Linked DNA regions of Oryzias latipes. The protein of the gene in region 2 binds, or shares a complex with, the protein of the main gene of each other region. Links are inferred from orthologs where the notes say so. Each region holds a gene or a part of one and is shown on either strand. Other genes may lie near its edges.

Evidence for each region.
Region 1: the proteins of dhdds (region 2) and nus1 are in contact, whole or in part, in a crystal structure (PDB 7PAX), measured with the Homo sapiens proteins. The link is inferred for Oryzias latipes from reciprocal best matches to the Homo sapiens genes DHDDS and NUS1. Residues at the interface, in NP_995583.1 of Homo sapiens: Arg37, Arg38, Glu81, Asn82, Lys84, Arg85, Arg159, His160, Ile162, Ser163, Val166, Arg167, Met169, Ala170, Trp171, Val173, Glu174, Pro180, Ser181, Ile183, Ser184, Glu185, Leu188, His199, Glu209, Val210, Arg211, Leu212, Ser213, Asp214; in NP_612468.1 of Homo sapiens: His137, Gln138, Pro193, Glu194, Lys197, Ala198, Ile200, Val201, Ala204, Gln205, Phe207, Cys208, Gln209, Val211, Ala212, Arg217, Pro218, Thr219, Leu221, Asp222, Val223, Leu226, Asp237, Pro246, Val247, Asp248, Ser249, Thr250, Leu251, Gly252.

The regions. Positions count from the first base shown.
Region 1 is NC_019882.2:10,566,189-10,570,465, reverse strand, and holds the start of nus1 (dehydrodolichyl diphosphate synthase complex subunit NUS1), read right to left. Parts: upstream 2,801-4,277; 5' UTR 2,452-2,800; coding exon 2,070-2,451; intron 1,121-2,069; coding exon 989-1,120; intron 883-988; coding exon 730-882; intron 3-729; coding exon 1-2. Other genes in the region: psmc6 (26S proteasome regulatory subunit 10B), read left to right, coding at 3,614-3,698, 4,183-4,262. UniProt on the Homo sapiens protein: With DHDDS, forms the dehydrodolichyl diphosphate synthase (DDS) complex, an essential component of the dolichol monophosphate (Dol-P) biosynthetic machinery.
Region 2 is NC_019874.2:24,538,620-24,545,956, reverse strand, and holds the start of dhdds (dehydrodolichyl diphosphate synthase complex subunit DHDDS), read left to right. Parts: upstream 1-2,883; 5' UTR 2,884-3,034; intron 3,035-3,310; 5' UTR 3,311-3,328; coding exon 3,329-3,391; intron 3,392-4,038; coding exon 4,039-4,155; intron 4,156-4,245; coding exon 4,246-4,388; intron 4,389-5,460; coding exon 5,461-5,577; intron 5,578-5,692; coding exon 5,693-5,794; intron 5,795-5,910; coding exon 5,911-6,025; intron 6,026-6,580; coding exon 6,581-6,688; intron 6,689-7,337. Other genes in the region: protein argonaute-1, read right to left, coding at 1,109-1,133. UniProt on the Homo sapiens protein: With NUS1, forms the dehydrodolichyl diphosphate synthase (DDS) complex, an essential component of the dolichol monophosphate (Dol-P) biosynthetic machinery.

The DNA.
Region 1 (4,277 bases), on a different chromosome or scaffold from region 2:
TTCTGAAACAAGAGACATGTTTTCAACTCCATCCAGTCAAGGTTGACATAAAAAAAAACCTGAAGTGAAGTGAGCTTAAGGCAAACAGATCAACAAGATCATTAAACAGTGACCTTCATTTAGATGGATTAGCTTTCACACTGCACTTCTGAGAGTGGATCAAACTGTTGTGTTTCCCTAAATTCCCCTTTAGGTGCGAATGTGAGTGTTGGTGGCTTTGTGTGGTCCTGAAATGGTTTGGCGAACAGGGTGGAACCCGCCCTCACCCTTTTGAGGTTGGGATAGGCTCCAGCCTCCCTGGGACCCTGAAGAAGACTATAGAGGGTTTAGAAGAAGGAGGCTTTTTCTTTGGTACCTATGTTACTTTCTATGTCTGGTTTACCGGATTGCCCTTCACAGCTGCTAAATTTGCCCGCATTATCAGTCCTCCACCGCCGTGCCTTACAGTTAGCATGAGAAGTTTGATTCATTTCATCTCTGATCTGATCTCACATGTCTACAAGACAAAGTTTCATTCGTCATTTTGACTTTGATGTTATTTTGAATTATAGTTGAGCTTCTTTGTTATTTTAGGAAAACTGATTCATTTTTTTCAACTTGTCCAAAGAATGTCCTCATCTCATCCAATCTTTAACATCCAACATGCTAAATGAGGCCTTCTGGGTCTACAAAGCCGACTTCGCATTCCGTCCGTGATCATATCTTCTAATTTGAAGCAGGACCGAGTACCTCTAAGCATGACGTCCAGCATGGACACATTAATGTCTCTGGAGCTCCTCTCCTTGTTCTCCACTGCATGGCAGAGCTTCCTGGCCGCCTGAACGATGCTGTGCTTCCCGTCTTCAGGAGACAAGACTTTCACCGTGGGTCTGCAGGACACAACTGACACACGAGATACAGTCACCCCACACGGTGAGCATCTCAGCCATCTTTACAGAGAAAGAAATGTCAAGAAAAACTGAGATTCAGGAGATCAGGGCGGTCTCACCACAGTGCTGGTGTTCGTCACCGCCGTTACTCAGAACCTCCACGTTGTATTTGGACCCGTCCAGTCCCAGCAGGTTCTGTTGCTGCCTCATGATCTCCTCCTGCAGATGGGAGTTGTTTTTCTGGAAGATACCTGAGGGACACAAAGACGAGAAAAGTTCAGGTATCGTCAGAGACAAAAATCGGACTTTCTGCATGTCGAGAGAACAGTTTGACTTCATAGGCTAGGATCTGGATATAGAAGAACCCCCCAAAAAGAAAAATAGCACTTTTTTAAACTGATAAACACTTCAGAAGCAACACAAACTGTCAAACTTTATTTAACCCATTTAGAAACAGCTGAAGGAAAGTATGTATCAAACCAAAACAGGTTGACAGAAAAATAAGTTTTTATATTTTCTACAATAGTAACAATAACAAAAGTAAATCAGTGTTTTCTTTTTCAAGTAAATCAAGTAAGACTTCAACCCAAAGGCTCTTGATTTGTTGAAGGTTGTAGACCCCAGTGCTGCAGGATAATGGAAACCAATGATTCTCAACAGATCCTTAGTAACAGTTAGGATTTAGAGCCAAATAAAATAAATCAATAAAGCTTTGTTTTAAAAAAGGACCAACTGTTTCATTGTGGCATACTGTTTGAAAATAATGTTTATATTTTGGAGTTAGACCATCTTTCTTGTGAATATAAAATTTGGCTGAAACCTAAAATAAGTTTGGTTTAATAATGAATTTTTGTTGTGTGCGCCCGAAAAAACTGGATCGCTCTGATCTGAGTCTGATGTCACAGTCAGATCATCACGGATCTGAACCAATCACAGAGGAACAGATCTCAGACCCAGATCATCTTAATTCTTGTGATCAAAACACATTTTGTACTCTTTTACGGTTCAAAACTACCAACATCTTATGCATGTCACTTAAACTTTCGTGTATTACATTTTCTACCGGGGATAAACTAATGTTAACCACAGGCGGTCACGTGACTGGACTTTTTGATTCATCCAAAGTGTGTGTAAGTAATTTAAAAGGGGTGCGCCATGACAGTGCATCATCCGCAGGTGTACTGATCGGGGACAGATTACCGTGATGATCGTAGACGCTGACGTAGGACACACCAACGGCCATGCACCACACCACCAGGTTTGCGATGTCCGTAAAGCTGGGCTCCTCCTCGGCTACCATCAACCCGACGTGCACCGGCAACTTCTCAAGAGCTTTGCCATCCGCCAGCCACTGCGCGCGGCGGCTGCCAGTGTCAGCGCGGCTCCCGCTCACGGGGCTCCGCTCCAGCTTCTTCTGAGAGTCCGTCGGCAGAGCCGCGGGCAGGAGGAGCGCCGCCGCCATCCGCTCCCACAAGCTACCGCCGCGGTTCCGCAGGCGGCCTCGAAGCCACGACATGAGGGCTCTCTTGACGCGAAGCAGAGCGAGCAGGAGCCGCCAAAGCAGGCCGTACAGCAGCGCCATGAGTGCAGCTCCTACTCTGGAGAAATCAGGGAGAAGATTGATTTGCGTGGCTCCGCCGCACTGGAGCGACTCTCAGCTCCCCGCTTTCACTACAGCTGCTGGTTCCACTTCAGCAAACGGTGCTCCACTCCTCGGCTGGTTCCGATAGGCCAACTGGTTCTGTGTGTTAGGTTGTTTCTGTTCGAATCACCTCAGCCCCGCCAATGTATCACCACCTCCACCATAACCCTGCCTGTCAACCTCCGAACTCTGACCTGCGGTGCTGCGTGATACACGGAGCTCTCTGATTGGTCGATACCACAGTGACGGAAACGAGGCCCGCCCAACAATTCAGGGTAGTGTCCCCAGTGGTCAGCGTGCGTATTGCAGGCAATGCTTATTTTTACATGCTTTATGTCTTGAATACTTTCTTTACATTCAAGTAGCAATTCTCAATTTATATCTAACACAGATCTGCTACTTATTTAATATATAAATGTATTAAATAAAATCAAAATGTATTGACTTTATTTCAACAAGGCAACTTTCCATTTGTGGGATAAATAAAGCGTTATTCTAAATTAAATACATTCATTAATTCATCTTCTTCCGTTTATTCCCTTTCGGGGTCATGGAGCTGCTGGAGCCTATCCCGGCCGCTTGTGGGCGAAGGCAGGGGACACCCTGGACAGGTCGCCAGTCTCTGTCACACAAGTAGAGAATCACACACCCACGCAGTCTCACATTCACTCCAATGGACACTTTAGATTAACCAATTAACCTATGAAGCATGTTTTTGGTCGGTAGAAGGAAGCCGGAGTCCCCAGAAAAAACCCACGCATGCACGTGGCGAACATGGAAACTCCACACAGAGAGGTCCCCCATTGATGTTCCGGTTCTTCAGGTCCCCCAGCCAGGACTTGAATCGGGGGCCTTCTTGCTATGAGGCAAGAGCGCCAACCACTGCCCCAATACATTTAAATAAAAATGCCTATTAACAGTAATGTGTTTTACCAAACATCGATTTTCCTTATGTTTATTTGACCTAATGGAAAAATTGACCATTTTAAAAAGAGAGAACGTGGTTATTGCACACATCTTACCGCTAGGCGGCAGTAGCGCGCCCAGCAGTTGCCGCTGATCCATAAAAGAAGTATCGCTCCCCCCTCATTCAGGCAGCGTCATGGCGGACACAAGAGAAAAAGCTTTGCAAGATTACAGAAAGAAACTTTTGGAGCATAAGGAGGTTGACGGACGGCTCAAAGAATGTGAGAACGTGTCTATATCAGTTTGGTGAAAAATAGACAGCAATTTAGCTTGAACTGTTTGCGTTTTCATTTCGATAATCGATAGCCGCGTCTCTCTGATGTTCCTGCTGTGTCATGTAGTTAGCATGTCAGTCTGTGGCCTCAGCCGGGTAAACACACCTTGAACCCAGTTTGCGACTGGATCCCATTTAAGTGGGACCCTTGTGGGTCTTACTAATATAGTCTACTTTGAATCTGGGATTGTTACACCCAAAATTGGACGTTTTTTTGGTGCTATGCTAGCTCCAGCAGCTAACATACAAAACTCAAGCTATGGAAATCTGCAGTGAGACCGCTCAGAGAGCAGAGTCACAGAAGAACCACACCGATTTCTTCTTTAATAAATTGACTACACGGTTACCAGCGGTTTTCAGCGTCTATTTCTGTTGTGTTTTTTAATTCTTTAAAATTGTAACGATAACAAAAACACTGTCCTTTGTGTTAGTGAGGGAGCAGCTCAGAGACCAAACAAAACAATATGAGAAGTCAGAGAACGACCTGAAGGCTTTGCAGAGTGTTGGCCAGGTAAGAACCCAACCT
Region 2 (7,337 bases):
GGCAATCAACCGTGTGGTAAACATGTCTAATCGGTTTCAGGAAAATGCCACACAACTGTCACACTTCAAACACAAAAGCAGACTTTGAAATAAAGGGCCCCCAGGGGCCCTCCCCCCTCCAATCACAAATAAAATAAAAACTAGTCTATTCCATTCAAAATTTAGACCAGCAGGACAATGTGATTTTAGATCGCCGGTCCTCTTGAATTAAGAAAATAAGAGCTACTCCAAGTGAAAGATAAAGTTAACAAACAAAAAAAGTTTTACAAAAGTGGAGAAAAGTAAAGCATCCAATACTTTTCCCAACTACGAGATAAGTTAAGTAAAACACAACCTTTTTTGTTCAATTCTTGCTTCTACGGCTCAGTGTTCACTAAGAAAACTGCCAATTAAAGATAAATTTGAACGAGAATTATGCAGGACGAGAGGGAGAAAGCCCATTGACATCCAGTTTACTGTAAATACACGAGCTTTTCCAAGTCCACCAGAACAAAACTACCTCCTCCTGCTAACACACACAATCTAATTACTGTTGATTTTAGTTTTCATGTAAATAATTGATCGATCTTTGCAGGTGGTAGGGTTGAGGTTGCATGCTAGGCAAATGGTGTTTAAGACATGCATGATAAAGGGGGGATGCTGTGCTGCGTGGGACCTGCGGGACTCAGCCAGCTGCTGCTGCTGCTGCTGCTGCTGCTGCTGCTGCTGCTGCTGCTGCTGCTGCTGCTGCTGCTGCTGCGGCTGCTTGAAGGCGGGATTCAGCCGCAGATTCACGTCGTTCCCATCATCCTCTCAGAGATTCCCACGACCTATCTGCCCCCGCACATGGCAGACGACACATTGTCACCACCCGGAGTCTCCTCTTAAATATTGTATTTGTTTGTTTTCTGTAATGATGGTGTGGTGCATGTAGATTGCATGAGACTCCTCTCCATGTCCACTCCATCTCAGTTTAATCTTCCCAAAACGTAGCGATGCAGAGACAGAGGCGCTAACATCAACTTACTGCATCCTCTTTCTAGGATGCCTCACTTCCCCAAATGCAATCTGTGTATACAGTCATGACTCAAACATTTGGACTGATTGCAATAATAAGAAAAAGACTTACCAGCGCCAGACGGTCCCGGCTCCATGATCCCATTCACTTAGCCGCAACGGTGCAAGCTAGCTAATCCTGGGTGCTGTGGCCAAACCGCCGGCCCCTTCAGGTTGGAAGTGTTTCAGACTTCCAGCCCCCTCCTGTCGGTGTTGAGTCGTCCCCTTTCTCGGTGTACTCCCGCCCCCTACCTCCCCAGCCGACCCCCCCCCCCCCCAGACCCGCAGAGAGGGGTTGAGGCTAACGCGACAGTAGCAGGCAGTTGCTGCTTTGCCCGTTGACCCTGAATCTGCTACGGCAGCGCTGGAACGCCTTGATTCTGATCGCTATTACTCCGGCGTGATTCCGCCGTGGACGGTGGATTTGCCGATGGTCCACGCAGCTGGGATTTCTTACTTAGTGTGTTCTCCAACTCAACGTTCAAGCAGGGTTCTCCAGCGGAACAAAAAGGGCCAGTACCTCAACCCCCCCAAAAATCTTAAACTTCTTCTTTGTCACCAAAAAAAGTCCAAACAAACTGTTGACAAACTTAATGTCAACCTCTAGTGGTGAAAGGCGGAACTGCACCCCATATTTTGAAGAGACAAAATTGAGGATTCACAGAAAAAGCTTTTTTATCATTCATAAAATCAATCCATACACAAAATGTGAGGGAAACTATTAACTATATTTTTTAGCTTTATGTGAGGGTCAAATGTGTTTCTAAGTCTGAAAAGTTGACAAAATTAAACATTTAGCACATTGAAGCACTCTTTTTCACTTAAGTCTAATGGCATTCAATTGAGTGATTCCCTGACACATTTCAACATCAATCCAAATAAATAAGCAACACATAACAACGTGTTTTATCAATGGCAAAAAGTCCCAAAACATGAACTGTACAAGAATAGAATTTACAATGAAAACCGTGAAACTTAGCAAACCCCTAAGCAGATTTATCAAAAGTGTCAAAGGTTGGGAGTCTGCGACATGCAGGAGAGGCTTGATTTTGCTGAGATGTTTCCAAATGTCAGCCGAAAAATGACATGTGTTGTGTATTAGGATGAGACTGGGTTGTCTGATGGGGAAAAAATAGAATAGAAATTAATTGAATTGAACCTTTTTCCCCACAAGGGGTAAATTACCTTGTTACTCTCGCTATATTAAAAACAGCAGATAGATAATAAAAAACATTAAAATTACCCTTCAAAAATATTGACATCAATAATTATTATCCAGCCTCTATGAGGCTTCGTAGATATATGTGAAATCTCTGTGTGTGTTTTTGTTCATTTATTTTTGTACAGACTTCTCGTATAAGCATGTACTTTTTTTGCTTCTTCAAAATACCTTGAGTTTCATTTATCTCTCCAGACATAAACCCAGATATTTATTTATTACCTATTCAAAGTAGAAAGAAAAAAAACCTTAGCAAAACCAACTTTTATTTTTGCTTTTAGTCTGAAAGTAGACAGCTTAATCATAACATTCGTAATGCATTTCTGTTCTATCTCAGAATAGTTGCACTTCTGTGAATGCGCATTTCTAGTTATTCACTTGTGTTTCTTGACCATTGCTCTCGTTTTGGCGGTTATTTTGCAACCTCTGACATCGCAAAGCGATTGGACAAAGAGTAGGAGAACTCGCTGTTTTAAATAGGCGAAGATACATCGATATACATAGTTTTTATTTGATTCTTTAAAATACATATAATTCGAAACCCGTGTAATTTTCTTGTGTGTTTAGAACAAACAACGGCGCGCAATTAAATGCTCAATGTGCGTGATTTGAAAATCCGAGGATGCACGTGCAACAGGAAGTCGTCATGACGCATTTACGGCACGTAGTTCCTGTGCGGAAGTGGTCGTCATCGTAAAAGCTATGAGTTGGAAGCTGTGAAATATGAGAAAACAACTTGTTCTTCTATGGTCTGAATGAAAAACGCGGCTTCCGTTGAGAGTGAGTTCCTGTTGGAGGATTTTGAGTTGTTTTTTATTTACTTAAATAACCATTTAGCAGTTAATTCATTGCATGATGTGTCGCGAGCCCTGTTGGCAGTTGACGTTGAAACCCACTACTAGTAGTACTAGCTTAGCTGCTGCTTGTGAAATGTAATAGTGAACAGAAATGTGACAAAAATAGAAGGCTTGCAACAGTGGACTAATATTTTTTAACAAACTGGGACGTGTTTTTGGTTTTTAACCACCTGAAAATGCTTTAATGACGGAATTTCAGATCGTCTGAAGGCAGAAAATGTCGTGGATAAGGGAAGGTGAATTAAATCTGCTTGAAAAGATCGCTTCCAATGTCCTTAAGGTAAGACTGCTGTCTTCTGGTGCCATTTTGGGTTTAAACTTTGAGTTCAGGATATTTATTGCTCCATATAATATGAAATTATCTTTGTCATCCTCTATAGTTATTCATATAATAAAGACATAACAAACCTATAAAGAAGCGTTTGTTTGAGTTCTAACTATTATTTTCCCAATTAAGCAATTTGTTTCATATGCACACAGGCAAACAATAACACCATTGTCCTATTATTCAGATTTGCTAATCAGAGTTCAGATCTAAGTTGACTGTCCAACATAGTATTTACTTTATGGCATCGGGCTAAATCCATTTGTTGAAATAATTAGTTTCTTTGTTTTGGCATTAATGAAACTGAGAGACTAAAAAAAGCCTCCTGTATTCAGTTAAACTTCCAGGAATCTTTTGTTTCTGAAAAATCTCGGCAGAATTTGAGACGCCCTCAACTTACTGACTACATTTTTGTTTTAATCACAACCATGCTTTCATCCCTTTGTAAAATCAGATGGACACTAATTTGTTTTTGCAATCCTATGGACATATGACAGTTGTTTAGTTTGTTAACGCTCAAACCTTTTGTGACTTTTACAATCCCATCATCCAGTTGTTGAATTTTGTTGTTGTTGTTGTTCTCTGATCCCGTGTAATGCTAGGCAGGACCCATGCCCAAACATGTGGCCTTTATCATGGATGGAAATCGCCGCTTTGCACGTAAGAAAAACATGGAGCGCCAGGAAGGGCACATGCAGGGCTTTAACAAGCTGGCAGAGGTTCGTTTTTTTTTTAATTCATGTGGGGAAATGCATGCCATTACGGGCCATATATTCACACCACTTAACCCCTTTTGTCTTTCACACCAGACGCTGCGTTGGTGCAAGCAGCTGAGTATCCCAGAAGTGACAGTTTATGCTTTCAGCATTGAGAACTTCAAGCGCACTAAAGAAGAGGTGGACGGACTGCTGGACCTGGCCAGGCAGAAGTTTGAGAGGCTGCTGGAGGAACGGTCAGTTTTATGGACAGATTTCCACTTTGCTGTTTATGGTTCTAGTGACTTTGATTCATCATGTGATTCAGAGCTTCCTCACAGCGCAGCTTAAGAGGAAGCAGATTTGTTTCAGTCACACATGTAATTTCAAGGGGGAAAATTTGAATATTCTTTGGTTTCAACAAGTCACACTTTGTTGTTGGAAACGTGTTTAAGAAAAGGGATTTTTTTTTGAAGCTGTTATTCCTATATTCTCCTCAAAAATTGAGTATGATACTTTACTAATGTTGGAATGATGAAGTAGATCATCAGATGAGAGATCAAAGCCTCAGATTGGAGTGGAGCAGCAGGCTTGTGGCTTGCCGTAGTAGCCTCTATGTCACACCTACAAGCTTTTCCCAACATTCTTTTTGCGTCTGCTACTGATTCAGAACGATTTGAATAAAGAAATACTCTGAAATAAAATTTTAACTTAATTTATTTTATGAAATGTCCTCCATGAGAAAACTGCTTCAAATGTTAAATGTTAAAAAAAAGTAAAGGTATGATTGGGACTTGAATGATATGGTGTGGATGAAAAAAACCCAGTTAAACATAAGACTTTGTATTTCTCAACATAAAGGTGAAAGTTTGTGATTTTTGCTTTAGACTTTAGGTTCGGCCAAGTGGGTACATTATTTTGAAAATCAGTTTCGGCAATGAAGTTGGGAAAGTTTTTCAATTGCAACTCCACAAACAGCCTTTACACGTTTGCTCAGGAACTTTTTTCTCTCTCTGAGGATTTATCTTAATTGTTAGCCTTGATAACAATATTTTCTGTGACAGCTACTCTTAATCTGGATGTCTGCTGTGGAATATCTTCCACTACCAACAGGATTTATAATGCAGGGCACATTGCAAACCAGCCTTCCACATCCCACCAGGCCACAGAATGCTCTGTGGTTGCAAGAATTTATTTGAAGTTTCTGTCAGTAAAATTCACACACAATATTTTGATAATCAAAAATGAAAATATATTTTTTTCCTGGAATTGTCATGATTTGCTTTAAGATCTGTCTCTCCCCTTAAAGGTTTCTGTTTTGTCTTAAAGGGAAAATCTGGAGAAACATGGCGTTTGTATCCGGGTGCTGGGTGACTTGAACATGCTGCCACTTGATCTTCAGCAGCTTATTGCCAAAGCTGTTTTAACAACTAAAACTAATAACAAGTATGTCTTTGTATTTGTGCTTTTATTTTGTAAACTCGATGATTAGTGGCAAAACCCAGCCTCGTTTCATCATTCCATGACGCGTCTGTGACGGCAATGACTTCTTTATTTCTAGATGTTTTCTCAACGTGTGCTTTGCCTACACGTCCAGATATGAAATCACCAACGCCGTCAGGGAGATGGCTTGGGGAGTTGAGCAGGGCCTGATCAAGGCAAGGTGAGCAGTTCACCAGACACTTGTGGGTTAATCTCATCAATACTCCTGTGTTGAATAGCATTGAGACAGATAATCTGGAGACATTGACAAGCCGCTCACGTTTCTGTCGTGCTCAGCGATGTTTCGGAGGCGTTGCTCAGCGAGTGCCTGTACAGCAATAACTCTCCTAATCCTGATCTCCTGATCCGAACCTCAGGAGAGGTGCGCCTCAGTGACTTCCTCCTGTGGCAGGTATGAAGACAGCTCTGCTAATACGCCACTTTGTGTACATTTTTGTAAACACTTCACGATGAAAGATTAAAGACGTGTACAATAGTAGTGGCTAAAGGTGAATTATTATTACTAAACCGCTGCAGTCATTTGTTTTCTTCTCCAGTATTGGGAGTGCCTGTGATCCTATCAGTTAAACTTGTATTTCTGGTTGGGTTTTTCAGTAGTTTTATAACCAGCTAATTAAAAAAAGAAATACTAGCTCAAATAAATACTAATTTAAACTCTTTTAAGATCTGCAAATCAGGGTTTCGCTTCAGTTCTGTCATTATTTTATCCTTTTTTACTGGATGATTATCAAATGCGATACAGTATTTATTCTAACAACAAGCTTTAAATGACGGCAGACGTACATCACTTCCCTCTTTTTTTGTTTATTTTGTTTGTTAGAAAGGCTGCTTCCAGTTACAGGCATATCTTTGAGCTGTTTTCTCAAAAATCAGCTATTTTTGTTGTTTGGCATCCAAATCTTTGTCTTTGGAGAAATGTCAACTGTCAGATGTTGTCCATCCACAGACGTCCCACTCCTGTCTGGTGTTTCAGTCGGTTCTGTGGCCCGAGTACACCTTCTGGAATCTGTGTGAAGCCATTCTGCAGTATCAGTTAAACCACAAATCCATCCAGGTTAGTCCTACTTTACTTTTTTGGGGGGTTCACTGTGTCCTTACTGAGAGAAACTTTAACTATTTACCCATTTAATTAAAAAGAAAAAAAGTCTAGGTTTTTATTTTTATATTCACATATTTTTAAAGCCTGTTCTGCTCTGCAGGCACACCATAAACTAAGAGGGGAAAAACAGTTACTGTTGCTTGAAGTTCAGTTCAGTCCAGTTGTGGCAAAGCCCTTTAGCTACGTTCACACTGCCCTCGGTTTACAGGGAGCTAAACACATTTATGTCCATTTTACGGCTCTATGTACAAAACCATTAAATGTGCGTTGCAACCTGGTTGAACTAAGATCAATCAGGGACTCAGATTTGGTTGTGACATATGGATGGCGTCCCTTTTAACTCACAGAAGATCCAACCGTTTGAAAATTGACCATGCAGGAGAAATGAATATCTGTGGTTTAGGCCCGGCCGGAATTCTATGACACCATGTCTTTTTTTTTTTAAAGGAATAGAGCTGTGAAAGAAAACGGCTGGAACAAGATTCATGAAATATGCGCTGCTTTGACATTTCACATCAAGCCTCTTCCAACCATAGGTGGCGGTCATGCACTAGTAAACAGTAGAAAAAGAACCAGGAGGAGAATCCCTTCCCTGCTTGACCAG